Macaca fascicularis: one gene and its partners. The protein of the gene in region 3 binds, or shares a complex with, the protein of the main gene of each other region. Links are inferred from orthologs where the notes say so. Each region holds a gene or a part of one and is shown on either strand. Other genes may lie near its edges.

Evidence for each region.
Region 1: BUD13 (region 3) and CWC27 share a complex: the UniProt entries of both Homo sapiens proteins name them as parts of the activated spliceosome. The link is inferred for Macaca fascicularis from reciprocal best matches to the Homo sapiens genes BUD13 and CWC27.
Region 2: BUD13 (region 3) and CRIPT share a complex: the UniProt entries of both Homo sapiens proteins name them as parts of the minor spliceosome. The link is inferred for Macaca fascicularis from reciprocal best matches to the Homo sapiens genes BUD13 and CRIPT.
Region 4: BUD13 (region 3) and SF3B5 share a complex: the UniProt entries of both Homo sapiens proteins name them as parts of the minor spliceosome. The link is inferred for Macaca fascicularis from reciprocal best matches to the Homo sapiens genes BUD13 and SF3B5.
Region 5: BUD13 (region 3) and DHX16 share a complex: the UniProt entries of both Homo sapiens proteins name them as parts of the minor spliceosome. The link is inferred for Macaca fascicularis from reciprocal best matches to the Homo sapiens genes BUD13 and DHX16.
Region 6: BUD13 (region 3) and SNIP1 share a complex: the UniProt entries of both Homo sapiens proteins name them as parts of the minor spliceosome. The link is inferred for Macaca fascicularis from reciprocal best matches to the Homo sapiens genes BUD13 and SNIP1.
Region 7: BUD13 (region 3) and SF3B2 share a complex: the UniProt entries of both Homo sapiens proteins name them as parts of the minor spliceosome. The link is inferred for Macaca fascicularis from reciprocal best matches to the Homo sapiens genes BUD13 and SF3B2.

Annotation. Positions count from the first base shown.
Region 1 is NC_088380.1:70,698,151-70,701,650, reverse strand, and holds part of CWC27 (spliceosome-associated protein CWC27 homolog), read right to left. Parts: intron 317-3,500; coding exon 154-316; 3' UTR 1-153. UniProt on the Homo sapiens protein: As part of the spliceosome, plays a role in pre-mRNA splicing. Probable inactive PPIase with no peptidyl-prolyl cis-trans isomerase activity. As a component of the minor spliceosome, involved in the splicing of U12-type introns in pre-mRNAs.
Region 2 is NC_088387.1:75,424,960-75,428,960, forward strand, and holds the start of CRIPT (cysteine-rich PDZ-binding protein), read right to left. Parts: upstream 2,801-4,001; 5' UTR 2,714-2,800; coding exon 2,698-2,713; intron 1,231-2,697; coding exon 1,165-1,230; intron 372-1,164; coding exon 317-371; intron 1-316. UniProt on the Homo sapiens protein: As a component of the minor spliceosome, involved in the splicing of U12-type introns in pre-mRNAs. Involved in the cytoskeletal anchoring of DLG4 in excitatory synapses.
Region 3 is NC_088388.1:115,624,520-115,628,631, forward strand, and holds the start of BUD13 (BUD13 homolog), read right to left. Parts: upstream 2,801-4,112; 5' UTR 2,775-2,800; coding exon 2,632-2,774; intron 1,889-2,631; exon of another isoform or gene 1,838-1,888; coding exon of another isoform or gene 1,794-1,837; intron 1-1,793. UniProt on the Homo sapiens protein: Involved in pre-mRNA splicing as component of the activated spliceosome. As a component of the minor spliceosome, involved in the splicing of U12-type introns in pre-mRNAs.
Region 4 is NC_088378.1:48,298,912-48,301,229, forward strand, and holds SF3B5 (splicing factor 3B subunit 5), read right to left. Parts: upstream 1,187-2,318; 5' UTR 1,111-1,186; coding exon 850-1,110; 3' UTR 501-849; downstream 1-500. UniProt on the Homo sapiens protein: Component of the 17S U2 SnRNP complex of the spliceosome, a large ribonucleoprotein complex that removes introns from transcribed pre-mRNAs.
Region 5 is NC_088378.1:141,982,531-141,986,623, reverse strand, and holds the start of DHX16 (pre-mRNA-splicing factor ATP-dependent RNA helicase DHX16), read right to left. Parts: upstream 2,801-4,093; 5' UTR 2,633-2,800; coding exon 2,426-2,632; intron 2,307-2,425; exon of another isoform or gene 2,251-2,306; intron 1,016-2,250; coding exon 768-1,015; intron 685-767; coding exon 522-684; intron 186-521; coding exon 129-185; intron 1-128. UniProt on the Homo sapiens protein: Required for pre-mRNA splicing as a component of the spliceosome. Contributes to pre-mRNA splicing after spliceosome formation and prior to the first transesterification reaction.
Region 6 is NC_088375.1:197,372,398-197,376,571, reverse strand, and holds the start of SNIP1 (smad nuclear-interacting protein 1), read right to left. Parts: upstream 2,801-4,174; 5' UTR 2,737-2,800; coding exon 2,513-2,736; intron 1,256-2,512; coding exon 1,153-1,255; intron 1-1,152. UniProt on the Homo sapiens protein: Required for pre-mRNA splicing as component of the spliceosome. As a component of the minor spliceosome, involved in the splicing of U12-type introns in pre-mRNAs. Down-regulates NF-kappa-B signaling by competing with RELA for CREBBP/EP300 binding.
Region 7 is NC_088388.1:8,338,592-8,342,561, forward strand, and holds the start of SF3B2 (splicing factor 3B subunit 2), read right to left. Parts: upstream 2,801-3,970; 5' UTR 2,771-2,800; coding exon 2,638-2,770; intron 2,483-2,637; coding exon 2,436-2,482; intron 2,129-2,435; coding exon 2,051-2,128; intron 2,012-2,050; exon of another isoform or gene 1,929-2,011; intron 1-1,928. UniProt on the Homo sapiens protein: Component of the 17S U2 SnRNP complex of the spliceosome, a large ribonucleoprotein complex that removes introns from transcribed pre-mRNAs.

The DNA of each region.
Region 1 (3,500 bases), on a different chromosome or scaffold from region 3:
ATTTGCAAAACAAGATAATTGTTTTTCAAAACCAGACAACAGGTTCAAAAATACTTCTTTTCACACCCCTAAGTGATGCTGTTGGGAACAATGGCTGTTACAAGGCCATTGCAGGCACATTTCCAGCAAGTTCTGGTTATCATTATTCTCATTTTATCTTCTTTCTTTTTTCTCTCTCATCAGCTTTTTGCTTTCTTCCCTCCTTCTTTTATTCACTGGATTCCGAGGATCATAGATTTCAAATGTATCTGAGTCTTGCATGCTTGCATCTTTCACTTTTCTGCTTTTATCCTCAAACTGAAGTACATGTGACATCCTAAAGAGGGAGAGAGATAGTTCAGTGATTCTTGCATGGGAACTTAAAGTAGAAATTCTATACTCTACTATCATTGACATAATGAACCATAAGCGTACGGAACACCAAGATGGGTTTGTTGTTTACTGGTGCTTACACCACATGGAAACCAACTTCTCAGAAAACTCTTAAATTTGAAAAACATGTCTGGAGTTTGTTCTGCTGGTTTATATTTCTAGTAGAGAATCTCTTTGCCTCAGTCTTTACTTGAGGTTTCTTTCCTGATGGGAGGTTAAAAGAGTTCTATACAGAAGTGTTCCTCAAAGTAAACTCAGAGGACACTGTCTGCTTCCTTTAAAGAACACATTCCTTTAGCCAGAGTGAGTCAGGTTGCAGAGCAAAACTCAAGACAATAAGCCAGCCCTGTCTGATTTTTAAAAATTTCAACAGTTACATGGGTCAAGAGTAGGGAATACATTAAGATAATTTAAAAATGATGTTCAAATGGTGTTATGACTCTCTTTCCTGGGGAATTGCTGGTTTAAAAAATATTTTCTTTATACAAAAGGAAACTAAACTTTTGACATAACTCTATGGACTAATTTCTTCTATTGTTGATTACAACAAATCTAACCAATCCTGCTCTCTTCATTAAAAGCTTACTGGTCTTAAGGTATCAGCATATGCTGGAATCCTGAGAGGTCATAAGCTAGCTATCTTTAGGATCAGTTAAATATGTTAGTAATTAGCTGTGCCCCATATGAGGTGCCAGCAATAAACAGAGAAGTCAAAAGAGCAGACTTCAGAACAGTTGAATGAATTTGGAAAGAGAAAAGTTCAATTTTTTTTTTTTTTTGAGATGGTGTCTCACTTTGTTGCCCAGGCTGGAGTGCAGTGGCATGATCTCGGCTCACTGCAACCTCCACCTCCTGGGTTCAAGTGATTCTCCTGCCTCAGCCTCCCAAGTAGCTGGGACTACAGAGATGTGCCACCATGCCTGGCTCATTTTTTGTATTTTTAGTAGAGACGGGGTTTCACCATGCTGACCAGGCTGGTCTCGAACTTCTGATCTTGTGATCTGCCTGCCTTGGCCTCCCAAAGTGCTGGGATTACAGGTGTGAGCCACTGCGCCTGGCGAGAAGTTCAATTTTTATAAAAATAAAACCAAAGTCTTAAGTCTTTTCCTACCGTTATACCCTATACACTTTTCTTCATCACAGCAGAAACGGTTAAACTGTAGGATTAATACTTCTTACATGCCTGTTGTAACTTTCAGATGAAACCCTAATATCTTTTCCCCCATATAAGCAGAGATCTGGGTAGTAGGTAGGCAGTAGTGAAGATCCCTCACTCTTTTCTCTCTACAGCAGCACAAATAATGACTGAAATTTACTTGTGTGGCAAATTCCCATGGGTATACCTAGATTTTTGAAGAATCCTAAAAAGATTTTAGGAGGGAAACAAAATGTCACAATTCTAGTGATATCATCGTTACTAAGGGTTTAGTAGCTGCTGCTCACCAGGGCTGGTGAGTTGAGGCTTATGTACCATTTCTACCTTCTTTTGTCTCACCTGAGAAAACTTACTGGAACGCAATAAGTAGAAATGATATATATGGATGATCTAGAATCCACTTTAATTTACTGAATAAGTCACATTCACATTTTTATACTTCATTATTATTATTATTATTATTTTTGAGATGAGATCTTGCTATGTTCGATGGTCTCGAACTCCTGGGCTCAAGTGAACACCTTGCCTCAGCCTCCCAAGGAGCTGGGATGACAAGCATGTGCCACCATGCTTGGAACTATATTATTAATGATACATTATTTGTATCAAATTTCATAACTGATCTCAATACCTGAACATGTGGAGTTGCTGACTTTTTATACTTCCATTCCTTTAGCGGACACCCTTATTTAGAAAATGTATTGTACAGTCGTTGCAAAATCTAATTTTCTAGTGTTTTCAATTTCCTACAGCTTTTAGGTATTAGCTTCTGAAAGTAAGACAATCTCTAACTCCCAGAAAAACGCTGACTGTTCGACAGCCATGGTATTAAGTAAGCCACTAGAACCAGTTGGAAAAATAATTAAACCAGATTTATGCAATTAATGCTATCTCGCCAAGGTCTAAATAATCAGTGACAACTCACTTCAGTAAATACACCACTGAAAGCCAATTAACCAGTGATAGCTACATGCTTTTGAAATTTGGCCCATCAGTTGCAGACTCGCTCCAGTGATTGTGCTTCTGAAAGCCAGCCAGTCAACAAGAGTCTCTTTCGAATAATGGGGCTTTTGAGGCTGACAGCTGCCCCTAAACAATTCCTGACCCCAAAACACTATGTAAGATTTGCAGCCTGCTTTGCTTGGAGACACTGTGCCTAAAAAGCACAGCGCCTCTTTACTTAAGTAATAAATTAAGCCTTTTTTCGTCCAGTTATTGAGAGGTAGCCTTTTTCTTCAACACTTCTTACAATCTTTGTTGCATCCCCCATAATATGCACCATTTAAAATTGTAATATTACCACTGATGAGAAGTAGGTGCAGAATGGTGGGACTCCTGTTAAAGGTCCTTTACCACACATCAGGGGTCGTCTAGACCCCTCTGCTGCACTTCAGTACATGCTTAGCAGCAGCTTTCCAAGTGCTTACGGCCTGGCTGTGTTGATGTCTAAACCAACACCAGTGTAGCTGGAATCATATGCCCTTTAAAACAATTTCATCAATACTCCTGGATTGATATGAGAAAACAAACTTACTGTCTTATTAATACCTCTTCATATACATATTCTTCTATTTAAAAAATTATCCTGTTCTCTGCCCAGAAATACAGATGGTTTTTTGTAATATCCATTTCTAGTAGGGATTCTCCATGTTTCAAAAATGACTTGATCAGAATTTGTCAATTAAGAATATAAAACGGCACCTTTTTCCTTTCTATGCCATGAGAGAATTTTGCAACTATTGGATTTAGTCGGCTCTGCTATAAAAAATGATCTCTAGACACATGAATAAGAGCACAAAGTCCACAAGAAGAAACAGATTTCCTTACAAATTTGAAAAAAAACAGAGAGCTGTAAGTTAAAGGAGCTGTCTTTTTCAACTGTTTGTTTCACACACCACTGCACTAAGCAAGTCCAACATTTTGATTAATAACAAACCTAAACCCAGAGGAAAGAAAGGGCTATCAGCTTACA
Region 2 (4,001 bases), on a different chromosome or scaffold from region 3:
TCCAAAGCTTACCATCTTTCCACATTTCCCTGCTGTCTCTGATTCATAGGATAATTAAGAAGGAGATAAAATACAAGTCATGTTTTCTGGTGAAACTGTAAGAGAATAACACTAATATCTTCATATATTGATACAGCCAAGGAGGAATAAGGTAAAACCAGCAGGATTGTAACAGATAGCTTGGTTCTGAGTGCTATGAACCACCTACCTTTATGTTTTATTGCAAATGGAATGATGCACATCAAATTCACTCCAGCAGACTTAATACTAAAAGAAAGGAAATTTATATGATCTGTCTATGGATGCTCTTACCCACCTTGCTTTTTTTGAAGTCAAAGCTTTATTTTCATTCAGCTTTCTCCCACCACTTTCTGTATCAGAATAAAAGATATTTTAGTGGGTTATTTCTATACATTTAACATAAAACATTAAGAAGTTCATTCTTTGACTTTCTACCAAAATAGTAGTCTGTATCTAATTTTTAAATCCTCATTTAGTAGGCTATTAAGACACTGCTTAAAAAGAAAACATTTATTAGGGAAACAGTAAAAATTTGTATAAAATACAATCATTTTATTTCTCAGACTCAAGGGAGTACTTTAGGAATGGGTCTATATTTACTCTATATAGTGTAAAATCTAGAAGCCACTACTTCAGTGTCATAGACCTTCAATATAATGAAAATGTTTATTTGTCTACGCTTTGAAAACATACTTTACTATATGTATTTAATAATAATGAAGGTAAATACTTCATTATAAAGATTTAATGATAATGAAGGTAAAATGGGTTAAAGCATTTATTTATTCAAGAATATAAAAATCAGAAGATTTAAAAAAATTTCTCCTCAGAAGAGTGGGGAAATTAAAAACAGACTCTAAATAAGCTGAATCAAATCAAATATTGTGATAATCAAATACTGTGATATTGTCACCACTTGACAATCATTTAATAATTTTGCTATCTCCTGATATTGGGAACCCATACAAGTAACTGAGAACTAAATAAAAGATATTAAATCACTTGGGGACCCAGTATTCTTTAATATTTAATAGATAAAATACTTTGAACATACAACATTTCATTGTACAAATAATGTAAAAGCTAAAATATAATTCACAGTAAGTATTTGGTTAAATTCCTATTTTCTAAAAGAAGAAATACCTGTGGTATTCCTAGCACCATCTTTCCATGTATCTGGAGTGATAACAGTACCAAGTTTCTTTTCACCTGTTAGAACAAGATAGTAAAAGGAAAATTAAAATTTACTATTTCATAAGTGCATTACATTGTGCCTAAGGCTCACAATGGTATCGACTATCAATGCTATTACCATAGGAGCCTGTTAATGCTGAGAAAGCAGCCAGTCAACTGAGACTCATATTAACTGTGGGCAATGAATGACTGACCGTCGGTAAAATTCGCAGGATAATAAGATGGCTTATAATAAGCTTTCACTGTTTGTTTATACTTTTAAAAAATCCAATAAGTCTATTTGTTCCATAAATATTTACTAAGCATCTATGATGTATAAACTATAGAAAGTGCTGAGAAAAAGTGATGAATCAGACAAAATTTTAATGAGATTATAGTATACTAATTTCTTTAACAGCAATCTGTAACCTGGGTTCCCCAGGTGGATCTTAAGAGATATGTGAACAAGGTGGAGTTGTACACAAACCTTTTATATTTTCAGTTTTTTTTCCTGGCAAGAGGCTACAGTTTTCATCAGATTCTCAGAGGGATCACAGACCGTCTCCCCAAAAAGAACCATTCAACCAAAATGTAAGCTAAAAAATAAAAGATATAATAATTGAGAACTAAAGTACTAGGAGAAATTCCAGGCAGGAAAAAATAACCCTGGCTAAGGAAATCCAAGAAAACAAAGTTTGGAGAGAAGGCAAGAGAGAGGATTTGAATATGTGGCAACAGGACTGTGAACAAAAAGGAGTAAAGAGGATGAACGCAAACTAGATAAAGGACACATTCTGAGGAAAGGCATAGAAAGCTTAGAGTACACATGGGCACAAAGAGTATTTTGTTTGGTCAAAGTGTGAAGAGGATGAGGGTCAGTGAAAATGAAGCTGGAAAAATAAGTTAGCGCCTTAGTGTGGAGGGTACTGAACGTCAGGTTCCAAATATAGAATCCCCAAATTATTCTCTGCACACTGAGAGTTTATTAAAGGATTTAAATTAGGGAAATAATAATTTGCACTTACGTTGATGTTCAATTCAAACATCTCTGGGTTTACTCTACGCCATATCCTGGCATAATGACTAATGAGAATGAATAAGGCAAAGTCCTAAGTCTTTGGTTCCAGTGTCTAACATTTGGCAGGAGTACAATACTTGTTACACGAATAAAAAGGAAAGGACAGGAATTGCCAAGAGGGAAAGGTGTCGCTGGGGTTTAACTGAACATTTTTATATGGGAGGGGAGCCGATGAGATCTGGGGCTGGGGGAAGGCAATGGAAATAGAGAGGGAGGTGCAGAACTGAGACCATTCTGAGTACAAAATACATAGGACTGTATGGTCGTTGGGGAGGTGCAAAAATGGTCAAAGGGTAGGGTAGAAAGACAGCGGCTAGAATCAGAGACCTGTGGGCGAAAAAAACAAAGAGAAGGCAAAGTTCCCGGGAGGGCTCAGTTAGATTATCCCAGCCTCCTCCTCCCGCAGAAGCAGCCCCTTAACTCACATTTTTCGCACACCATCCTTCCCCACGACAGTTCCCCTAGCCGCAACAGGAGCAGCAGGAGCCTGAAAACATCAACACTGTAACTGGGAAGTATTCCCCTTCCGGGCTACGTCAATCCACTTCCGGCTTCTAAGCCCACCGCTCCCGCCTACCCCAAACCTGGAAAGCCGCGGGAGGAATGAACGCGAGCGGCTAGGTGGGGCTGCCCCATTTGCCCGCCCCTCCCTTTCTGCGACTGGCTGTTCGGCCGTGGGTGTCCGCCCCACAACCCTGCGTCTGCGCGTGGGCCTGGGCCTCCTGTCGTACCTGATGGTGGGAGGCAGTAGTTCCCCGCTTCCCTTCCGCGGGCGGGAAAGTTAGGTAAGCCTCGCTGGACTTCCCAGGCGCTCTCGCCTCCCGGGGTGCAAGTCACCCCCGCGAATTGCCGAAGCAGCCCTGAGCCTCGGCGCCCCGGCCCGCCAGCTCTCGCCGTCAGCTCGAGCGCCACTCTTCCGGCGTGCCCTGATGGACAGACCCCCTTTCGGATCCGAGTTTTTGCCTCTGTCCCCCAGTTTTTCTTTGTCTCCAACTCCCGAGCTCTTTGATCCTGCTTCTCAGCTGGTTCCTCGCTGCCCACGCTCGCGCCGGCCTAGGGTCGGGCAGAATTCCCAGCGACCAGGGTTGGGGTGGAGCTGCCGGTGGAGGTGCGGCGATGCCCGTGAAGGCTCCTCTGGGGGCCGCTCTGAAGAGCCTTCTCTCCGCTGCGGTGCCTGGGGAAGGTGGGCCGCGTCATGCCCGTGGCACCCCTGCAGGCGCCCTGGGGGCACGCCAGGGCCTAACACGGTGCTGGTTTCCCAGGAGAGTTGGTTTCCCACTTTGCCTACTCTGGTTCCTTCATTCACTCAGCAAACGGTTGAGTTTGGTAACTGCTCACTGTATTACATCCACATCTGATGGCAGCTGCGATTCCGAGGGTGGCTCAGAAAAATGGCTGAAGGGCTATCTGTTGAGAGAATGGATTCCTGATCCCCTTGCCCTCCCTCAATCAGCTTAAGAGAATCTATGGGAAAGTTTACCATTGTCCCTTCTTGCCATCCGTTTGCTTCTTCATGCCTAGTGTATTTCCTTATACCAGAGAGAGAGCTGTAGCGCGTGGGACCTTGGACCACCTCACCTGTTTGCCTTGTTTCCTTATCAGTAAAATATCTGCCTTTGAAAAGCACTGGGTGAATTAAATGAGAGCTATTAGGATAAGGCCCAGGTTCGCCCTTCTGCTTTTCACACTAGCGGGCGCCCCTCCGCGCGCGCGCGCGCCCACGTGTGTG
Region 3 (4,112 bases):
TGAGACAGGGTCTCACACTGTTGCCCAGGCTGGAGTGCAGGGGCACCATCATGGCTCCCTGCAGCTTTGACTTCCTGGGGTTAAGTTATTCTCTCCACTCAGTCTCCCAAGTAGCTGAGACTACAGGCATGTGCCACTGTGCCTGACTTTTTTTTTTTTTAATTTTTTGTAGAAACAGGGTTTAACCATGTTGCCCAGACTGGTCCCAAACTCCTATATGCAAGCAATCCACCCGCCTTGGCCTCCCAAAGTGCTAGGAAACTCTTCCTCATTCCAGGAAACTCTTCCTCATTTTTCAGGTCCTAACACAAATTTAACTTCCTTTGGCAAACTTTTTTTTTTTTTTTTTTTGAGACGGAGTCTTGCTCTGTCGCCCAGGTTGGAGTGCAGTGGCACAATCTCAGCTCACTGCAAGCTCCGCCTCCCGGGATCGTGCCATTCTCCTGCCTCAGCCTCCCGAGTAGCTGGGACTACAGGCGCCTGCCACTATGCCCGGCTAATTTTTTGTATTTTTTTAGTACAGATGGGGTTTCACTGTGTTAGCCAGGATGGTCTTGATCTCCTGACCTCATGATCCGCCCGCCTCGGCCTCCCAAAGTGCTGGGATTACAGGCGAGAGCCATCGCACCCAGTCTGGCAAACTTTTCTTGACTGCTTCCCGGATTCCCCCACTATCTCACACTCACTCAAGACCACGGACCCGGCCGGGCCCAGTGGCTCACGCCTGTAATCCCAACACTTGGAGGCTGAGGCAGGTGGATCATGAGGTCAGGAGATCGAGACCAACCTGGCTAACATGGTGAAACCCTGTCTCTACTAAAAATACAAAAAATTAGCCAGGTGTGGTGGCGGGTGCCTGTAGTCCCAGCTACTTGGGAGGCTGAGGCAGGAGAATGGCGTGAACCCTGTAGTTGGAGCTTGCAGTGAGCTGAGATCATGCCACTGCACTCCAGCCTGGGGGACAGAGTGAGACTCTGTCTCAAAAAAAAAAAAAAAAAAAAAAGACTAAGAACTCTTGTTAAAAACTCTTGGAATACTTTCATTGCATTTATCATAAAGAAAATACACCAATTAGTTGTGTAATTAGTTGCTTAAAGCCTGTATTCCCACTAAACTATAAGCTCCACAAGAACAGGGACTATGTTTCTTTTTGTTCACAGAGGCATCCTCAGTAACTGGAATACAGTGTATTCAATAAATGCTTGTTACATGGATAAACTATAGTTGAGCCCCAATAATAACCATGACTGCCATGATGTGAAGTTATTCAAAAAGCCAGGGTCACTTAATGCAATCCCTCTAATCACAACCACCACTTCATAAAAGCATTATTATTCAGTATTATTCCCATTTTAAAGATAAGGAAACTGCAGTTCAGTGAGATGAAACACTTTGCCCAAGGGTACACAGCCTATAAAGTGGCACAGCTAGGATTCGAACTCTGACCAGTGCTGCTCCAACACTCAAGCTACTTTCATCACATGGCACTGCCTCCAAAGGATCCACACAAGTCAGCGAAGCAGAAAGACGAGGACAATAATAAGGCAAGCACCAAACCAGAAAACAACATGGACTAGTTCTTTAGAACAATGTGACTTCACTGGGTATCTTAGTGCCTTAGGGTTACTGTAACAAAGTACCACAAAATTGCGTGGCATAAAACAACAGAAACTCTCACAGTTCTGGAAGCTAGCAATCTGAAATCCAGGTGTCTGCAAGGCCATCCTCCCTGCAAAGTCGGTAGGGAAGGATCTTTCCTTGCCTCTCCCAGCTTCTGGTAGCCCCAGGCATACCTTGGCTTTTGGCAACATAAATCCAATCCAATCTCAGCCTTCATCTAGACATGGTCGTTTTTCCTTTGTTGCTGTGTCTGTATCCATACTTCCCTCTTTTTAAAAGGAAAACAGTCATTTTGTATTTGGCACCCACCTTAATCAAGTATGACTTCATCTTAACTGATTACATCTCCAAAGACCCTATTTCTAAATGTCACATTCTGTGGTTCTGGGTGGAAAACGATTTGGTAGGGCCCACTATATTGGGCCACAAAGTTTTCCCATTTGAAAATAATACCCAGTTCATGGTACTGTTGTAAGGCTTAAACAAACTTATGTTTAAATTTCTTATAATGTTGCCTGGCAAGAAAAGTATAATTATGTAAATGTTAACTTCTCTTGTTAGTAGGACTATTACTAAGAGTAACAGGAGGTGATCCAAGGTCTCTGATTCAGAACCAAGTCCTTGGGATTTGGGAATCCCCACAGGCAGGTACCGGGCCCTAAAGATTCAAGCACAGAGGCTTTGAATCCGCTCCATTATTCTCGGGGCGCAATATTCATTCTCCATGGGAGAGGACGGAAGTCTACCAAGGCGGGAAAAGAGTAATCAAAGTTACAGCCCGGCTCTAACGCACTGACGCTACTGCTCAGAGGCTCGAGGTGTAAGCGGGGCGGCAGAGGCAATGCGGGGCCTCAAGCGATGTGAGTGGGGCCCTGGGCATGAGCAGGGGTCGGCGGAGAAGCCGGGAGACCCGCCAAGAGGGAAGGAGTCGCCAGGCGACCGAGGGCGGAGTTGGGAAGGGTGAGGGGTGGCGAGTCGTTGCAGGCCCCGCCCCGGCCGGTACCAACTCACCCCTTGCCGCCGGCCCCGCCAGGCTTCGGCCGCTTTTTGCGACGCTTGCGACCGGACTCAGACCCCCGGTCGACGCCGGCATCTGCCCCGGACAAGTAACGCTTCAGATACTCGGCCTTGGAAAGCGGCGGAGCTGCCGCCATGGCAGCGGCGAGGGCAGAGACGGGTCGGCGCTGGGGACAAAATTCCTCAACGCGTAACGGACGCCAGCCACCCGAGGGGGCGGGGCCAGGGCCGGAAGTGGCGGAGAGTGCTGAGAACTGCGCGGCTGGCAGGTGCCCTCGCGGGGGATGCGCTCACCTTCGGGGCGCTCCACAGCCCTGGGACGACGCCACCAGGTTTCTTCTCTTCATCCACCCACCCACCCATCCATCCAACCGCAGCAAGCGCTGTTCTGTGAGGCCACAACCTGACCCAAAAGACCCCGCCCCCAGAGGTTACCTAAACTGCAGAGCACGGGCAAGAAAGTGGAGGGCCACAGGCTGCAGCGTAGCCGAGTTTGTTTTTTGTTTTTTGTTTTTTTTTTGAGACGGAGTCTCGCTCTGCCGCCCAGGCTGAAGTGCAGTGGCCGGATCTCAGCTCACTGCAAGCTCCGCCTCCCGGGTTCTCGCCACTCTCCTGCCTCAGCCTCCCGAGTAGCTGGGACTACAGGCGCTGGTTCCATAGCTGGCTAGCTGTACTACCTCGGGCAAGTTATCACAAAGCGGGGAGAATCCCGGCACCTAACTCGGAATGGTCACAGGCTGAGATAACACTACTGTGTGAAGTGCGCAGAGCAGTGTTGGGCATATGGTGGGCATATGGTCATCGGAACTATGTTCGTTATTTTTATAAGTATCTTCAAGTGGGGAGAATCTGCTCCACTAGGCTTCCAGGTACCTACCGTCTGAGAAGGGAAGCCAGGAAGTGCAAACCAACATAATTACTATGAAAAACGTAGTTTCTAAGACCTGTATAACTCTTCTGGTGTTATATTACAAGTAGCTCGCAGTTATCTTTTGAAGGAAACTAACATCTTGACAATGAAAAGGACCTGGATCTATTTTTAGCATAGCAAAAGAGAGAAACCAGAGAGAATGAATTCTAATACTCAAGTTTTGGGGGGGAAGAAAAGACTTTATTCTTGGCAGGGGTTTTAGAGCTTTACCTGAATTATCTCATTTAACCCTCACAATTCTCAAATCGTTTCAATATCACATTTTACAGATAAGAACTGAAGCTTGGCAAGATTTAAGAAGTTGCTCAACTTCACATAGCCAGAACATGACTCTTGGGAGTAGAGGCTAGCAAAGTGGGGTGCAAGAGGTCATCCAAATTTCTTGAAATATCTTTTTACCTTATCATATGTTAGATTGTCACTTTTTTATCGTTTTCTTCCCAGCTTTATTAAGGTTATTTGACAAAAATTATATATATTCAAGGTGTACAATGTGATGATTGGATATAATTATACATTGTGTAATGATTACCAAAATCAAATT
Region 4 (2,318 bases), on a different chromosome or scaffold from region 3:
GCATCTTCTAACATTTACTTATTACGTCTACAGTGTTTGACCTCCTTTCTCCACCACCAGCATAATGTAAGCCTCAAGACCATGGGAAAATGCCTGTCACATAGAGCTCAACAAATATTTGTTGAATATAGAAAGGATGAACTCACTTGCCAGCTTGTCATTTCTGGAGACATGGCCACAAATTCCCAAGAAAAAGAAAGGATGCATTTTAAAGAGGCTAAGGAGGACAATGACAGCAAAGACTGCAAAGACTTTTAAAACGGGAGAAAAAGAAAATGGGATACAATAACCACAAACTTCAATACTGAAGGCATTGTGGGCCTGAAAATAACGCTCTTGGGAGAAGTGGCAGTCGGGGAATTAATTATAATGGTAGACAGGGTGGATTTAAGTACCTGATCATGGACACTGGCATGCACTCCCTCCCCCGACCCATTTCCCGCTCGGGTCTTTCAGGAGCCCTCCACCCTAACACAGGAAGTTCACACCAAGAGAGTGAATGATTTCTAAACTTTATGGAAAAAGCCAATGACAATCAATTAGCCAAAAATGAGACGCCAAATCCCATCTCATTCCAGCGCCACGCCCTCTTCTCAAACGCTTGCCGGCTCTAGGCCCTCTTCACCAACACAGTTCTCAGGGGTTCTGCTGGTCTCCCAGTGCTATTCCAAAGGGTTCACATGAAGGCAGGTCAGGCGGGATTCCCCGGGCAAGCACTTCTGTACGCGGAAGTACCAGACGCAGGAGCCATGGAGAGCCGGTCCTTTGGAGGCAGAAATAGTCGAAGGGATTGGCCAACCTGAGGAACACTGGGAGAGGTGCCCCGCACAGTGGTGGTAAGGCAGAGTCTCAGTTCTCCTCGGGCTTGTCGGCTGGCGGTCCACAAGGCTGAAGCATCTTCTCCATCAAATTGAAGCGGACTCGCGCTTTGCTCTCATTCTCTGCAATGGCGAAGTAGTTGAGAAGGTCGAAGTGGCCCATGTAGGAGCAGTACGAGTCGCGGTGTTGGTTCACCAGCCACTCCCACTTGGTGGTGTCGGCGTGGCCCGTGCCGATGTACTTGGACTGCAGGTGCTCCAGCTGGCTGTGGATGGTGTAGCGGTCCGTCATCTCGCCGCTTTCCCCTTAGTTCCCAGGACAGAGGACGCAGACAACAAATCGCCGCTCTGGCGTTTCACGCGGGAGTGAGGCCACCGTGCGGAAGCTCCCGGCCCGCGCCGTCGCAGAAGAATGGCGTCACGACGACTAAGTAGCGTAAGTCTCGCTCATAGGGCTCAAAGGCGGAAGCGGAAGCACATTCTGTCACGGAATTGGAGTTGCCGAGGCGACGCCACAAGTGTGTCGCCCCTGTAGAGAGCCCCGCCCCGTCAGAGAGCTTTGCATGATGGTCCACTTGGTGGCTATGGGAAGCCCTTTTCCAACAGGGAGCCTTGCATGCTGGGACTTGTGGTCTTGGGAGTTCGTGCTCGTAGGCTTCTGGAACTCCTGGTCTCGTTTTGTTGTTTGAGACAGAGTCTCGCACTGTTACCGGGACTGCAGTGTAATGGCGCGATCTCGATTCACTGCAACTTAACGCCTCCTGGGTTCACGCGATTCTCCTGCCTCAGCCTCTCCAGTAGCTGGGATTACAGGCGCACACCACCACGCCAGGCCAATTTTTTTTTTTTTTTTTTTTTTTTTTTTTTTGTATTTTTAGTAGAGATGGGGTTTCACTGTCTTTGCCTGGCTGATCTCGAACTCCTGATTTCGTGATCCTCCCTCCTCGGACTTCCAAAATGCTGGGATTACAGGCGTGAGCCACTGCGCCAGGCCCCTGGTCGCGTTTTAAAAGTGATCTGGGGACCTAGTGGAGGGTGATGTCTGGGAGGTGGGGAGCATCCGTGGGTGGCTTGGGGCTGATGGGAAATGGGAAACCCAAGTAGGACTGGACTACAAGCAGCCCCGAAAATAAACTCTCCCTGTTTTCCAAAGCTATCATGGTAGCACAGCCATCCCTTCACAACCAGGGATGGATTTCCCAGAAGTCGGCAGGCACAAGTTCTGGTCCCAGCTATGTCTCTTAGGAGTCTGTGGCATAAAAGAGTTATTTCAGCTCTAACCAGGGTGCTTGGTGAGCAAGTACAGCACCAATTCCCACACATTCCGGCTTCCACCTCAAGCTCCTCCTTCCTCTCTAGCCACTTATTTTGATATCCTTCCTCCAAGGCCTCACTGCACCCTACTTGGCCCTTCCATTCAGTGGGTTTTGTGGATTCAACCGACCCGATTGAAAATATTTGGGGAAAAAGTCAGTCTGTACTGAAGTGTAGACTTTTTAA
Region 5 (4,093 bases), on a different chromosome or scaffold from region 3:
AGACCTGACCACTCCATCAGCATCCACACCGTGCTTCCTCTGTATTCTCTCTCCCTATACGTAACCACTCTATCAGACGGTCTTCCCTTTTGTCTTCTGATCTTGGGTCCCTGGGCCCTGGGACTCACCATGGCCTTCCGGTCTTCCTCGGCCATCTTGAGGCGCTTCTGAGCTTCTTCATAAGCCTAGAAAAAAAAAAAACAAGAATAGAGGGGTGTGAGGCCAAAGAGCCCCCACACTGACAGCTGCTCCTCTTTAGAATCACAAGGATCATTCAGATGTACCCTAACACAAAAAATGTCCCCTCTCAGTGAGGGATCTGTATGATTGCAGGTACAGTAGAGTTGCCTTAGCCACAGGATGCACAGGGCTTCTCTCACCTCATCTCTCCCCACAGAGGGGAACATCTCACTAGAGAAAGCCCCTTGTCTTCCCAGAGATCACCATCTCTGCAATCACAGCCAACCTCACATTTCACCCTGGGATCTTGGGGATTTACAGAACGTGCTGCTCCTGTTCACCTTCTTGTCTGACCGCTCCAGGACATTTCGAGTCCGATCCTTGTCCCGCTGTCGAACCCTCTCAGCAAAGGCATCACGCTCCTCCAGGTCCTGAAGGCGCTCACGCTCTGTCCGTTCCCACTCATCTTCTGACTCTGGCTTCTCTGTCTGCTGTTTACTCCCCCTGCAGCCCATCCAGGGGATTAAATAAGGGCATTGAGCACACTTCAGCCTGCCCCATCCTCCCTCGCCCTGCTTCTGACTTACCCTGTTTTCTTCTTCCCTTTCTCAGAAGCCTCTTCCTCCTCTTCTTCCTCCTCTTCCTCACGCTTCTTCCTGAGGTGTTTCCGCTTTTTACGTTTCTTCTGGAGGCTGCTTCCAGCCCTACTCACAGTCTCCTCACTGCTCTCTTCACTGTCTTCCAACAACCTATAAGATCGGTTCTTCTCCAGCAGGGCTCGGGCCTCTCGCTCTGCTGCCCGCGCTGGCTTTTCTACCACTGCCTTTCGTGGTACCTGTCAGTAGAGGGGAAGATAAGGAGGTCTGAGCAACTCCTGATCTCTGCCCTCCCACTTAGCTCTAGCTCTGTTCCTAATTTAAGCAATTACTTAGTCTCCCCCCGCCCGCCGAGATGGAGTCTTGGTCTGTCACCCGGAGCTGGAGTGCAATGGTGTGATCTCGGCTCACTTCAACCTCCACCTCCTAGGTTCAAGCAATTCTCCTGCCTCAGCCTCCCAAGTAGCTGGGATTACAGGCGCCTGCCACCACACCTGACTAATTTCTGTATTTTTAGTAGAGATGAGGTTTCACCATGTTGGCCAGGTTGGTCTCAAACTCCTGACCTCATGATCCAGTTGCCTGGGCCTCCCAAAGTGCTGGGATTACAGGCGTGAGCCACCGCACCCGGGCACAATTACTTAGTTTTAAACCAGCTAACCAGCCTTCATTCTGTCTTCCTCATGGCTTCACCCCATGTTTATCATCCTGAATGGGGCCCACAGCTTTTTGGCTTTTTTTACAGACAGGGTTTCACTCTGTCCCTCTTGGGCTCAAGTGATCCTCCCACCTCAGGCTCCTAAGTAGCTGGAAACACAGGTGCACACTACAACGCCCAATTAATTTTTAAATTTTTTGTAGGGAGGTTTCACTATGTTGCCCAGGCTGGTCTCGAACTCCTGGGCTCAAATGATCCTCCTGCCTCAGCCTTCTGGGGTGCTGGGATTACAGGTGTGAGCCACTGCACCGGGCCTCCTCTGTTAATTAAACGGCTGAAAGGAAGTTCAGAAGCTGAGGGGGGACGGGCAAGGTGGCTCACGCCTGTAATCCCAGCACTTTGCGGGGCTGAGAGAGGAGGACTGCTTGAGCTGAGGAGTTAGAGACCAGCCTGCGCAACACACCAAGGCCTCGTCTCTAAAAATAAAAATAAAAATAAAAGATATTAGCCGGGGGTGGTGGCGCATGCCCATAGTCCCAGCTACTGGGGAAGATGAGATGGGAGGGTCGCTTCAGCCAGGGAGATCGACGCTGTAGTGAGCCGTGATCTTATGACCGCACTCCAGCCTGGGCGACAGGGCGAGCGAGGCTGTGTCTCTCAAAAAAAAAAAAAAAAAAAAAAGGAAAGAAAGAAAGAAAAAGAAAGAAATGCAGAAACTAAGATCCCTACTGAATCGCAATCTGCATTTTAACAAGGGCCCTGGATGCATGTTAAGAGTTCGAAAAACACCGTTCTATTGCGTTTAACCCGACACACCTAAGCCCTCCTCAATCTTCTCCACTGAGCTGGGCGTCCAGCAGCTAGCACAGTACCTAGGCGACAACGGACAAAGAATAAGTGCTTGTGAACTGAGCTTTCTTAACTCCTCGATGGACCGTTAGGCCAGCCTCATCGGGACAAATCACAGGACCCCTCCCCACCCTGCCGACACCTTGTTCCAGAGTCTCAGGGCGAAGTCCCGGGCCGGTCCACTGAGATCCAAAGTATCAGTGTCTCGTAGGCGCTGCACGAACTCCTCGGCCGACGTGCAGCGCTGTGCAGTACCGATCAGGAACTGGGCGACGTGCCGCTCGCTCAGCCCCAACACCGAGTGCAGCTCGTCCTGAACCCAGCGCTCCAGCCCCGCCGGCGTCGCCATGGCGACCCACGCTCCCTGCTCCCAGCCCTGAAGCGTCGGGCAGCCCCGTTCACTGCTGGGCCGGTCGGAGGCCTGGAGCCCTCGGCTGGAGCCTCAGCTTCGCAAGGCGGCTACCTTGGGACCTCTAGGATCAATTTCCGACATCCCAAAGCCGTCGTCCGGTACCGCAAAGCCCGGAAGGGGCTGCACTTTTTCCGGCCTCTAAGCACTACGGTGGCCGAGCGAGTTCAAACCTCGCGGAACCATGCCTGAAAGTTCGGAGTAATTCTTTTTTCTTCATTTCCGCCTCTATCCAGTTTCTCTGACGCCCCCTGATGGTCAGTTCGTGAGTGCTTCCCTAACGCATTCATTCAACAAGTGAAATCAATTTAATGGAGGCCTAATGTGTGCTCATTGCTTTCCGTCGCTGGGATCTAGCAGAGGACAAATCAAAAGTTCCTTACCAAATTTACATTTTGCGGTGGGGGAGGGACAGGATACATAATAAATAAAGTATGGAAGTTTTATAGAGCCAAAAACTCTACAAAGTAAGGGACAACCGAAATTCTATTTCAGATTGGAAGATGGGGTCCATGCTCATGAAGCATATTAGCCGTGTTGGCCGGGCGCGGTGGCTCACGCCTGTAATCCCAGCACTTTGGGAAGCCAAGACGGGCAGATCACTTGAGGTCAGGAGTTCGAGGCCAGCCTGGCCAAGATGGCTAAACCCTGTCTCTACTAAAAATATAAAAATTAGCCGGGTGTGGTGGCGTGCGCCTGCAGCCCCAGGTACTCGGGAGGCTGAGGCAGGAGAATCGTTTGTACCTGCGAAGCGGAGCTTGCAGTGAACCGAGATCCCACCACTGCACTCCAGCCTGAGCGACAGAGGAAGACTCTGTCTCAAACAAACAAAAAAGTGACCTTTGCTAGGATTGGTTTGCCTGCAGCAGGAGTGAAGACAGGTCAGGCATAAGGGAAGACCTCTAGGCAGGAAGAAACTGGGGAACTGGGGAAAATTGTTAAAGACAAAATCTCCAAACTAAGGAACAGGCAAACTGTTTTCTGCATTTTTGCTAACATCTTGAGAAAATCACTGGTGGCTGCTTATTTAAAAGTAAGCAAGGCCAGGTGCAGTGGCTCTTCCTATAATCCCAGCACTTTGGGAGGCTGAGGCAGGAGGATCTCTTGAGAACAGGGGTTTGAGACCAGCCTGGGCAACATGGTGAGACCCTGCCATCTCTACAAAAAATTAGCCAGGTGTGGAGGTGTGCATCTGTAGTCCCAGCTACTCTGGAGGCTGAGACAAGAGAATCTTTTATTTTTTATTTTTATTTTTTTGGAGACGGAGTCTTGCTCTGTTGCCCAGACTGGAGTGCAGAGGCACGATCTTGGCTCACTGCAACCTCCGCCTCCCAGGTTCAAGTGATTCTCCTGCCTCAGCCTCTGGAGTAGCTGGGATTACAGGCGCAATAGGCACGTGCC
Region 6 (4,174 bases), on a different chromosome or scaffold from region 3:
CCAAGTACCTCAGAATGTATTAATAACTGTTTTTGGAGATAAGGTCTTTAAAGAGCTGATTAAGTTAAAAAATGAGGGCAGGGCCCTAATCCAATATGGCTGAGAAAAGACACCAGGACAGAAAAAAGATCATTTAAGGATACAGCAAAGAGGTAGCCATCTGCAAGCCAAGGAAAGAGGATTTTTTTCAGGAGAATCCAAACCTGCTAACACCCTAATTTTTGACTTTTAGCCCCAGAACTACAGGAAAATGAATTTCTGTTGTTTAAGCCACCTACTCTATGGTATTTCATTATGGTGGCCCTAGGAAACTAATACAGCCACTCTGGAAAACAGTCTGGCAATTTCTTAAAAGAATTAAACCTGCAACTACCGTACAATCCAGCAATTGCACTCCAGAGAAATGAACTCTTATGTTCACATAAAAACCTGTACACAAATGTGTATATAGCAGCTTTATGTGTAATAGCCAAAAAATGGAAACAACCCAGATGTTCTTTAATGAGTAAGTGGCTAAATCCATGCCATATGGATACCACTCAGCAATGAAATAGAACAAACTACTGAGAGCTGCAACCTGAATCAATCTCCAAAGGATTCTGCTGAGTGAGAAAAGACAATCCTAAAGGTTACATACTGTATGATTCCACTTACATAACATTCTTGAAATGACAGAATTATAGAAATGAAGAACAGATTAGAAGTTGACAGAAGTTAAGGAAGGATAAAAGTGGGAGATAAGTGTGTGTGGCTACAAAAGGACAACATGAGGTATTCCTTGTGGTGAAGGAAATGTTATCTTGACTATATCGATGTCAATATTCTGATGATGATATTGTACCACAGTTCTATTATGAATAGATGCTACCACTGGGAGAAACCAGGAAGAGTATATCTCCCTGAATTATTTCTGACAACCATATGTGAACCAATAATAATCTCAAAATAAAAAGTTTAATTTAAGCAAACAAGCAGAAAAAAGAAATACACCCAGTTTTCAGAAAAGCCCATTGGAGGTACAGGTAGAGATGTAGGCGAGTGTGCGTGCACACACGCGCACACACACAATACACACACACACAGCCCTCTTTAGCTGTGATAGGAAAAGGCTCTCAATTTGGACCCAACATCAAAACACCCCAATCCACTTACCTGCTTCACTTTGACTGTTGAGTAGTGAGGACTTCGGTTTCTCTTACTCCGAGGAGACTTGCTTCTTCTCCCTGAGGACTTGTTTTTCTTTTTGGGTGGGGACCTATACAGAGCATGGTACACAGGATTTTATCGCAATTTCCCTTCCCCCATAAAAATTAGCTTCCAGTATCAGGCTTACCTACTAACACAAACACTGCTTTTGTGAAGGTATCTGCCAATCACATTAAAGGAGTCACGAGGTTCATTTTCCTAGCTCTAACGTCTCCCTTGCATTCCATACTCACATAGACAACTGTCTACTGAACCTTCTCACTTAGGTAACAAAACTCTTAATTTCCAACCCTTCAAAAACCTTTCCTCTCCTACTCCTTGCCATCTTGCTAACTGGCATCACCATCCGGAAGTCACCCTTGATTCTTTATCCCTCACTACCAACACCCCTAGCATCAGGAACAATCCCTCCATCCTGTGGTTCTACTTCCTCCCTATGCCATCTCATTCCTACCACCCACCTTCTTGACCACTATACTCCACCGACACTGGCTTTTTCCCATTTCAATCATAATTCATTCTACTTCAAGTTCTTTGCAGATGTTGTTTCCTCTGCCTGGATCTTTAAGAGGTTGAATCATTCCTATCACTCAGGTCTGGACTCAAATGGCACCTCTTTAAAGAGGCCTCCTCCCTCTTCTCTCCAATCTCTATCACATTACTGTTATAACCTATCAATAATACTTGTTATTGAAACTTTTTTTTTTTTTTAATCATCTGTCTCAGGGTTAGAGCACGGCCAATTTGGCACTGGTGAAGATCATCTAACTGAATCGCCCTTGCAGCCCCAATACCTAGGGCAGTCTTTCACACTTAAAATAGGCACTCAGTAAAACTATGGTGAATGAATGCATAAATAAATGAGTCTAGCAAGAAGTAACTTTTTTTATTTTTATTTTTCCAGTTTCTGTTAGGTAGCTCGCCTAGACCTCGATGTGAAAACCTTTCTGGCAGGTAACTGGAAAGACAAGGCCCACACTCCATTTGTGGGCGGGATGGGGAAAATCTCATTCCAATTTAACAGATTATCAGTGCTATCTGTTGGGCTACACTCTTCGAAGTGCTGGGGACACAAGAATGAAGGAGTGGGATCCTGCCGGTGTGTCATTAGGCGTTGAACACCGAGCTATAAGGCAAGTGACAGAGCAAGCATAACACAAGCACGACTGGATCACTCTCAACAGTCCCTCAGGATTAAGTCCGGGCTGCTGCGCCCAGCATTCAAAACCTGTTTCGGATGCTAGCCCTGCCCGCCTTTCTGAATGAGCCCAACCCAACGTCCATCCTGGGCTGCTCCCCCACTTACCGGCTAACTCCTCGGGCTCGGTTCCCGCGGTGGCCCGGGCGGCCCGGCTCGCTGGTCGGCGGAGACGGGCTACCGCCGGAGTGGTCCGGACGGCGGTGGGCGGGAGGTGCGACTTCTGGGCTGAGACGCTCCTGCTTCACCACCACCCCCGCCGGCAGCACCATGTCCCCGTCCCGGTGTCTTCGCCGGCTCCCTCGCTCCCGTTCGCTCTTCACCGCCTTCATTCTGTGATTTTGGCTGAGCGAAAGAAAACAGATCCGTTGAGCTCCTCTAGCTGAAGGAAATGACGAGTTTGACTCCTGGACTTCCGCTTCCGGGGTGCCCAACCTCCCAGAAATCCTCGCGGCAGATATTAAACACGTGACTACTCCCTAGTGGGAGTAGCCACAGTGACCGGCTTGGGTGGCGGGAGTTTCAAGTTTCAAAAACAAACTTCTGGCTGGGCGTGGTGACTCTCGCCTGTAGTCCCAGAACTTTGGGAGGCCGAGGCTGGCGGATCACCTGAAGTCAAGAGTTCGAGAACAGCCTGGCCAACATGGCAAAACCTCGTCTCTACTAAAAATACAAAAATTAGCCAGGTGTGGTGGCGCGCGCCTGTAATCCCAGCTACTCGGGAGAATGAGGCAAGATAATCGCTTGAACCCGGGAGGCGCAGGTTGCAGTGAGCGCAGATCGCACCACTGCACTCCAGCCTGGGCGACAGAGCGAGATGTCTCAAAAACAAACAAACAACAATAACAACAAAAAACTGGGAAAAAGCAAACCTCTCAAGACTGTTTGTTGCCACATTACTGGTAATTACAAAACGTGGAAACAATGTAAATACCCAGCAGTAGGGAAGTTAGCCAAATTAATGGGTGTTATGTGGCCATTAGTAAACCATTTACAAACTTTAAAAACCCTGACTTGTTAACGACAAAGCAGGATACAAAATTGTGCGCAAACCATAATTACATTTACATTTGGAAATAGAAGGGAGGAAGACATGGAAATGCAATCAGAGATGATAACCCGTGGGCAAATCATTAGCTTTTCCTCTTCTATTTCCTGAACTTTTTGCAATGCTGTTGGGGCTCAGAAATCGAAACCCCAAAATATGGCGCACTGACATGCCGAACTGAAGAAGCCTCAATGTTCCTTCCCGGTGCCCACCATCTCTCCCAAAGCGCAGGTCTTTATCTGCCTAAGATACAGACTACCAAAAGGAATAATTGTTTCTTTCTTCTCCTCCCAAGAATGTAATCACACCTGACCAGAGACCGTTATGCTGTCAAAAGTAGCTATTTACAGCCGAACACGGAGGCTGCAGCCTGTAATTCCGGCCCTTTGGGAGGCCAAGGCAGGAAAAACGCTTGAAGCCAGGAGTTCCAGACCAACCTGCCCAACATAGCAAGACTCTGTCTCTACAAAAATTAAATTTTGCAGGGGCTGGTGGCTCGTGCCTGTGGTCCCAGCAGAGATAGGAGGATCACTTGAGCCCAGGAGTTGGAGGCTGCAGTGAGCCGTGATGGCACCACTGCACTCCAGCCAGGGCTACAGAGTGAGACCCTGTCTTCAAAAAAACCAAACCAAAACAAAAAAACAACAAAAAACTATTTACAAATGTATCTCTGTTCCCTTATTAATTCATTCTGCCTAGTAATCCCTGAACAGAATTCCTCC
Region 7 (3,970 bases), about 110 Mb from region 3:
ATCATAAAATTAGGAAACATTTATCTACTCATCTGCACATATCTGGGGGATCTACTTTGAGTCAGGAGCTGGGATTCTAAGTCAAATGACACATAGTTCCTAATTCGTAAGAGAGAATGCTCCATAGCCCTATAAAGATATGAGAATGTTAACTTCCGGCACCAACCACAATAAGCTATCCACTCTCTCCAGAAAGATATCCTGAATACAGACTCTGCATACAATTCCAGGAGACTCAAAGACACCTCTGAGGCCATCTAGGGACTCCTCATTCTACACACAGAGATCAATAGATCCTAGGTCAGAGCCACTGCTTTAGAGAAAAAGAAGCAAATCCTGGATCAGAAGCAACATGGAAATTGAGAGGACTTAAATAAACAGGAACCACTGTACCAGGGCAATGCAAACCCCAATGACTGCTAAATGCAAGGAGTATGAAATCAAATCAGGGAGCTCTCAATGTCTCACAAAAGAACATGGGAACTGTTCCTGGGGCAGGCAAAGAAGAGGGTGATTGCTTCCAGCTGGGTAGGGACAAGTCGGGCTTCCTTGTATTCAAGCTGTTTTTTTTTTTTTGTTTTTTTTTGTTTGTTTGTTTGTTTTTTTTTGAGATAGAGTCTGTCACCCAGGCTGGAACGCAATGGTGCAATCTCAGCTCACTGCAACCTTTGCTTTCCAGGTTCAAGCAATTCTCGTGCTTCAGCCTCCCAAGTAGCTGGGATTACAGGCGCCTGCCACGATGCCCGGCTAATTTTTGTATTTTTAGGAAAGACGAGGTTTCACTATGTTGGCCAGGCTGGTCTCGAACTCATGACCTCAAGTGATTGCCCGCCTCGGCCTCCCAAAGTGCTGGGATTACAGGCGTGAGCCACCATGCCCTGCCTCTCTCTCTTTTTTTTTTTTTTTTTTGAGACAGTCTTGCTCTATCGCCCAGGCTGGAGTGCAGTGGCCTGATCTCGGCTCACTGGCTCACTGCAACCTCCGCCTCCTGGGTTCAAGAGATTCTCCTGCCTCAGCCTCCCAAGTAGCTGGGATTACAGACATGTGCCACCACGCCCAGCTAATTTTTGTATTTTTAGTAGAGACAGTTTCACCATGTTGGCCAGGCTGGTTTCAAACTCCTGATCACAGGCGATTCACCCGCCTTGGCCTCCCAAAGTGCTGAGATTACAGACATGAGCCACCATCCCCTGCCTCTTTTTTTTCCCCCTATTTTTTTATTTTATTTTATTTTATTGTAAGTTCTGGGGCACACGTGCAGGATGTGCAGGTTTGTTACATTGGTAAATGTGTGCCATGGTGGTTTGCTGCACCTATCAACCCACTGCCTAGGTATTAATTCTGGCGTGCATTTGCTATTTTTCCTGACAATCTCCCAGCCCCTGCCCCATCACCCCCCAACCTTTTTTTTTCTTTTTTTTTCAGAGAAGTAAAGTCTCATTCTGTCACCCAGGATGGAGTACATGGAGTACAGTGGCGCAACCAGAGCTCATTGCAGCCTTGAACCTCAGGGCTCAAGCAATCCTTGAGCCTCAGCTTAGAGAGTAGCTTGGACTTTATAGGCATGTGCTGCCGTGCCCAGCTAATTTTTAAAAATTTTTTGTAGTAACAAGAGTCTCACTGTGTTGCCCAGGCTGGTCTCGAACCCTGGCTTCAAGTGATCCTCCCATCTAAGCATCCCAAAGTGGTGGGATTACGGGCATGTGCCACTGCACCTGGCCACAAGCTGAATCTTGAATGACAGGTAGAATTTGGAGAAGCAGACAGTGGAAAAGGAGGCAAGTATCAGCATCAAAGAGAGAACTGAAGAGCTCACAATTCTGTCATGGCAGTACCTCCTTGCCCAGTCAGTCAGTTGCATCTCAAGTACACTGCAATTAAGAGGAAGGGCTACCCTGAACAGATGGAATCTTTCTATTCCCCACTCAGGTCAGGCGAGATGTGCAAGGGTGTGACGTCTCACACATGCACGCGAACACCGAATCATCATGCTCATGAACTACAAAAGGATCAGCAGATAGAATCTTAAAAAATGGAAGAACCTCCCTACCTGCGCTGACATGGGAGGTGGAGCGGCTTTGTCCCCATCTTCCCCTCTCAAAACCGGCCGATTCAGCACGATGCCAGTCTGCAAAAGAGAAAGGACTCTAGGTCAGTCCAAAACTAGCTGTTTCACTAATCGACGATCTCTCCCAATTCATTTAACAAAACGTATCCAGTGCCTGTCTGCCAGCGCTCCGGCTGGGCACTGAAGAGGACCAAGATGGATACAAGAAATTACAACTAAGCTGGCAAAGGCAAGAACAAGCCAAAAAGGGCAAGCCTCCGCCTTGCTGTGCCAAGATAAAGAAAGAATGAAGACCGAGCCGTGATGGGGTATATAAGGTCTCCTGGAGAAGCTCGGCCTATCCTGACGTCCCGCCGCCAACACCTACCTGGCGGGTGTAGGTCTGCAGCCGCTCCACCAGCTCCTCGCGATTACCTGCGGGGCAAAGTACACGATCAATGGAGCAGGCAAGCCCGGCCAGGTCAGACCCCAGCTGCCCGCCTCCGCCCCTCGCGCCCGGGTCTCCCGGGTAACCAGGCTCCGCTTCTCCGCAGGCCCGTAAAGGTCCCTCGACTTTCTGTGTTCCTCACCCTGGATCGGAGCTCCGATCTCTGCCAACTTGGCCTGAAGCTCCTGGGCAGCCCAGGCGCCATAGTGGCCTGGAGGTGGCGGCGGCGGCAGCTGCAATTCCGCTTTGGGAGGCTCGGGATGCTCGGTCGCCATCTTGGCCGCAGCAAGGCGCGCGACCAACCCGGAAGCTCGGGCCGGCCTCTGGGCCCACTTTCCGGAACTTCCGGCGGCGCCGTACGCCACGTCCTCTCTGGTTGGGAGGCGACGCGCACGCAGGCCCACCCGCTGCGGTACGCTAGGCGACGGGATTCGCCGCAGACGCCCCTTTCTTCAGTGGCCCCTCGGCCGTCTGGTCGCTAGGCCTCCTGGGAGTTGTAGTGCGCAGGTCTCGGTCTCTGCGGGCCCTGCGCCAGGCTACGGCCCAGAAGGCCGGCGGCGGGCCGGAGGGCGGGGCTGCGGGGAAGGCTGGCCCTGCCCGGAGGGAGTGTTTTCTGCGCCTCACCTGCGGGAGCGCAGGCTGTCAAGCCTTCCGGCCCGGCTCCCCGGTCAGAGCCTCGGACTCTTACGCTCCCAGGGAGTCCCGAGAGACTCATTTCCCCGGCGGCTCCGCGTTGCGGGCGCCAAGCGGGAGGCTGGAGCCAATGCCCGGGATAAAACAGTGTCTGATTGTCTGCCCGCCCACCCCCGGCCCAGGCCCGGATGAATGGGCTGAAAGGGGATCCGAGCCAGGAGAGGAGCGGGCCCGCCCGGGCTGAGCTCCAGCTGCCGACCTGGGGGAAGGGCGACACTAAAGCCCCCTTTTCCACCTTCCAAGCCGGCTCAAATGTCGTCTTCACTAAGCTTTCTCCCGCTTTCCTTTCCTTTCTTAGAGTTCCCATAATACATTCGAATCTCCACCGTTTGATAAGTCTTTCTTGCCCTTTCTTCCTACCTGCATCCCAAAAATGTGAGCAGGGACTTGATCTTTTTCAGTCTCGCATCACCTGCCGTTCAAGAGGCGCCCAATAAATGATTACTGGGAAAAAGGAACAATGTTTCTGGTGACAGTATTTGTGTCTTTTAGTCTCAAAAATAAACTCAGGCCCCTTTTCCCTCAGCCGCACCTGCACTGGGGGCCCACCTTGCCGCCCACTCCCCACCCCAACTCCCCGTGGTCTTTGGGGACAGAGGCAGATACTGGCAGGGATTCTTGCCTGCCTAGCATCCACCTCTCGCTGTCCCACACCATCAATTCAATTTCTCTCCCCACCTCTGCCACTAGCTCTGCCCTGTCACTAACAGCCAGGCTCACTGTGTGTGTTTTTATGTGTATTGAGTACGGGAATGGGGAGACTTCAGTGAAATGGTCTCATT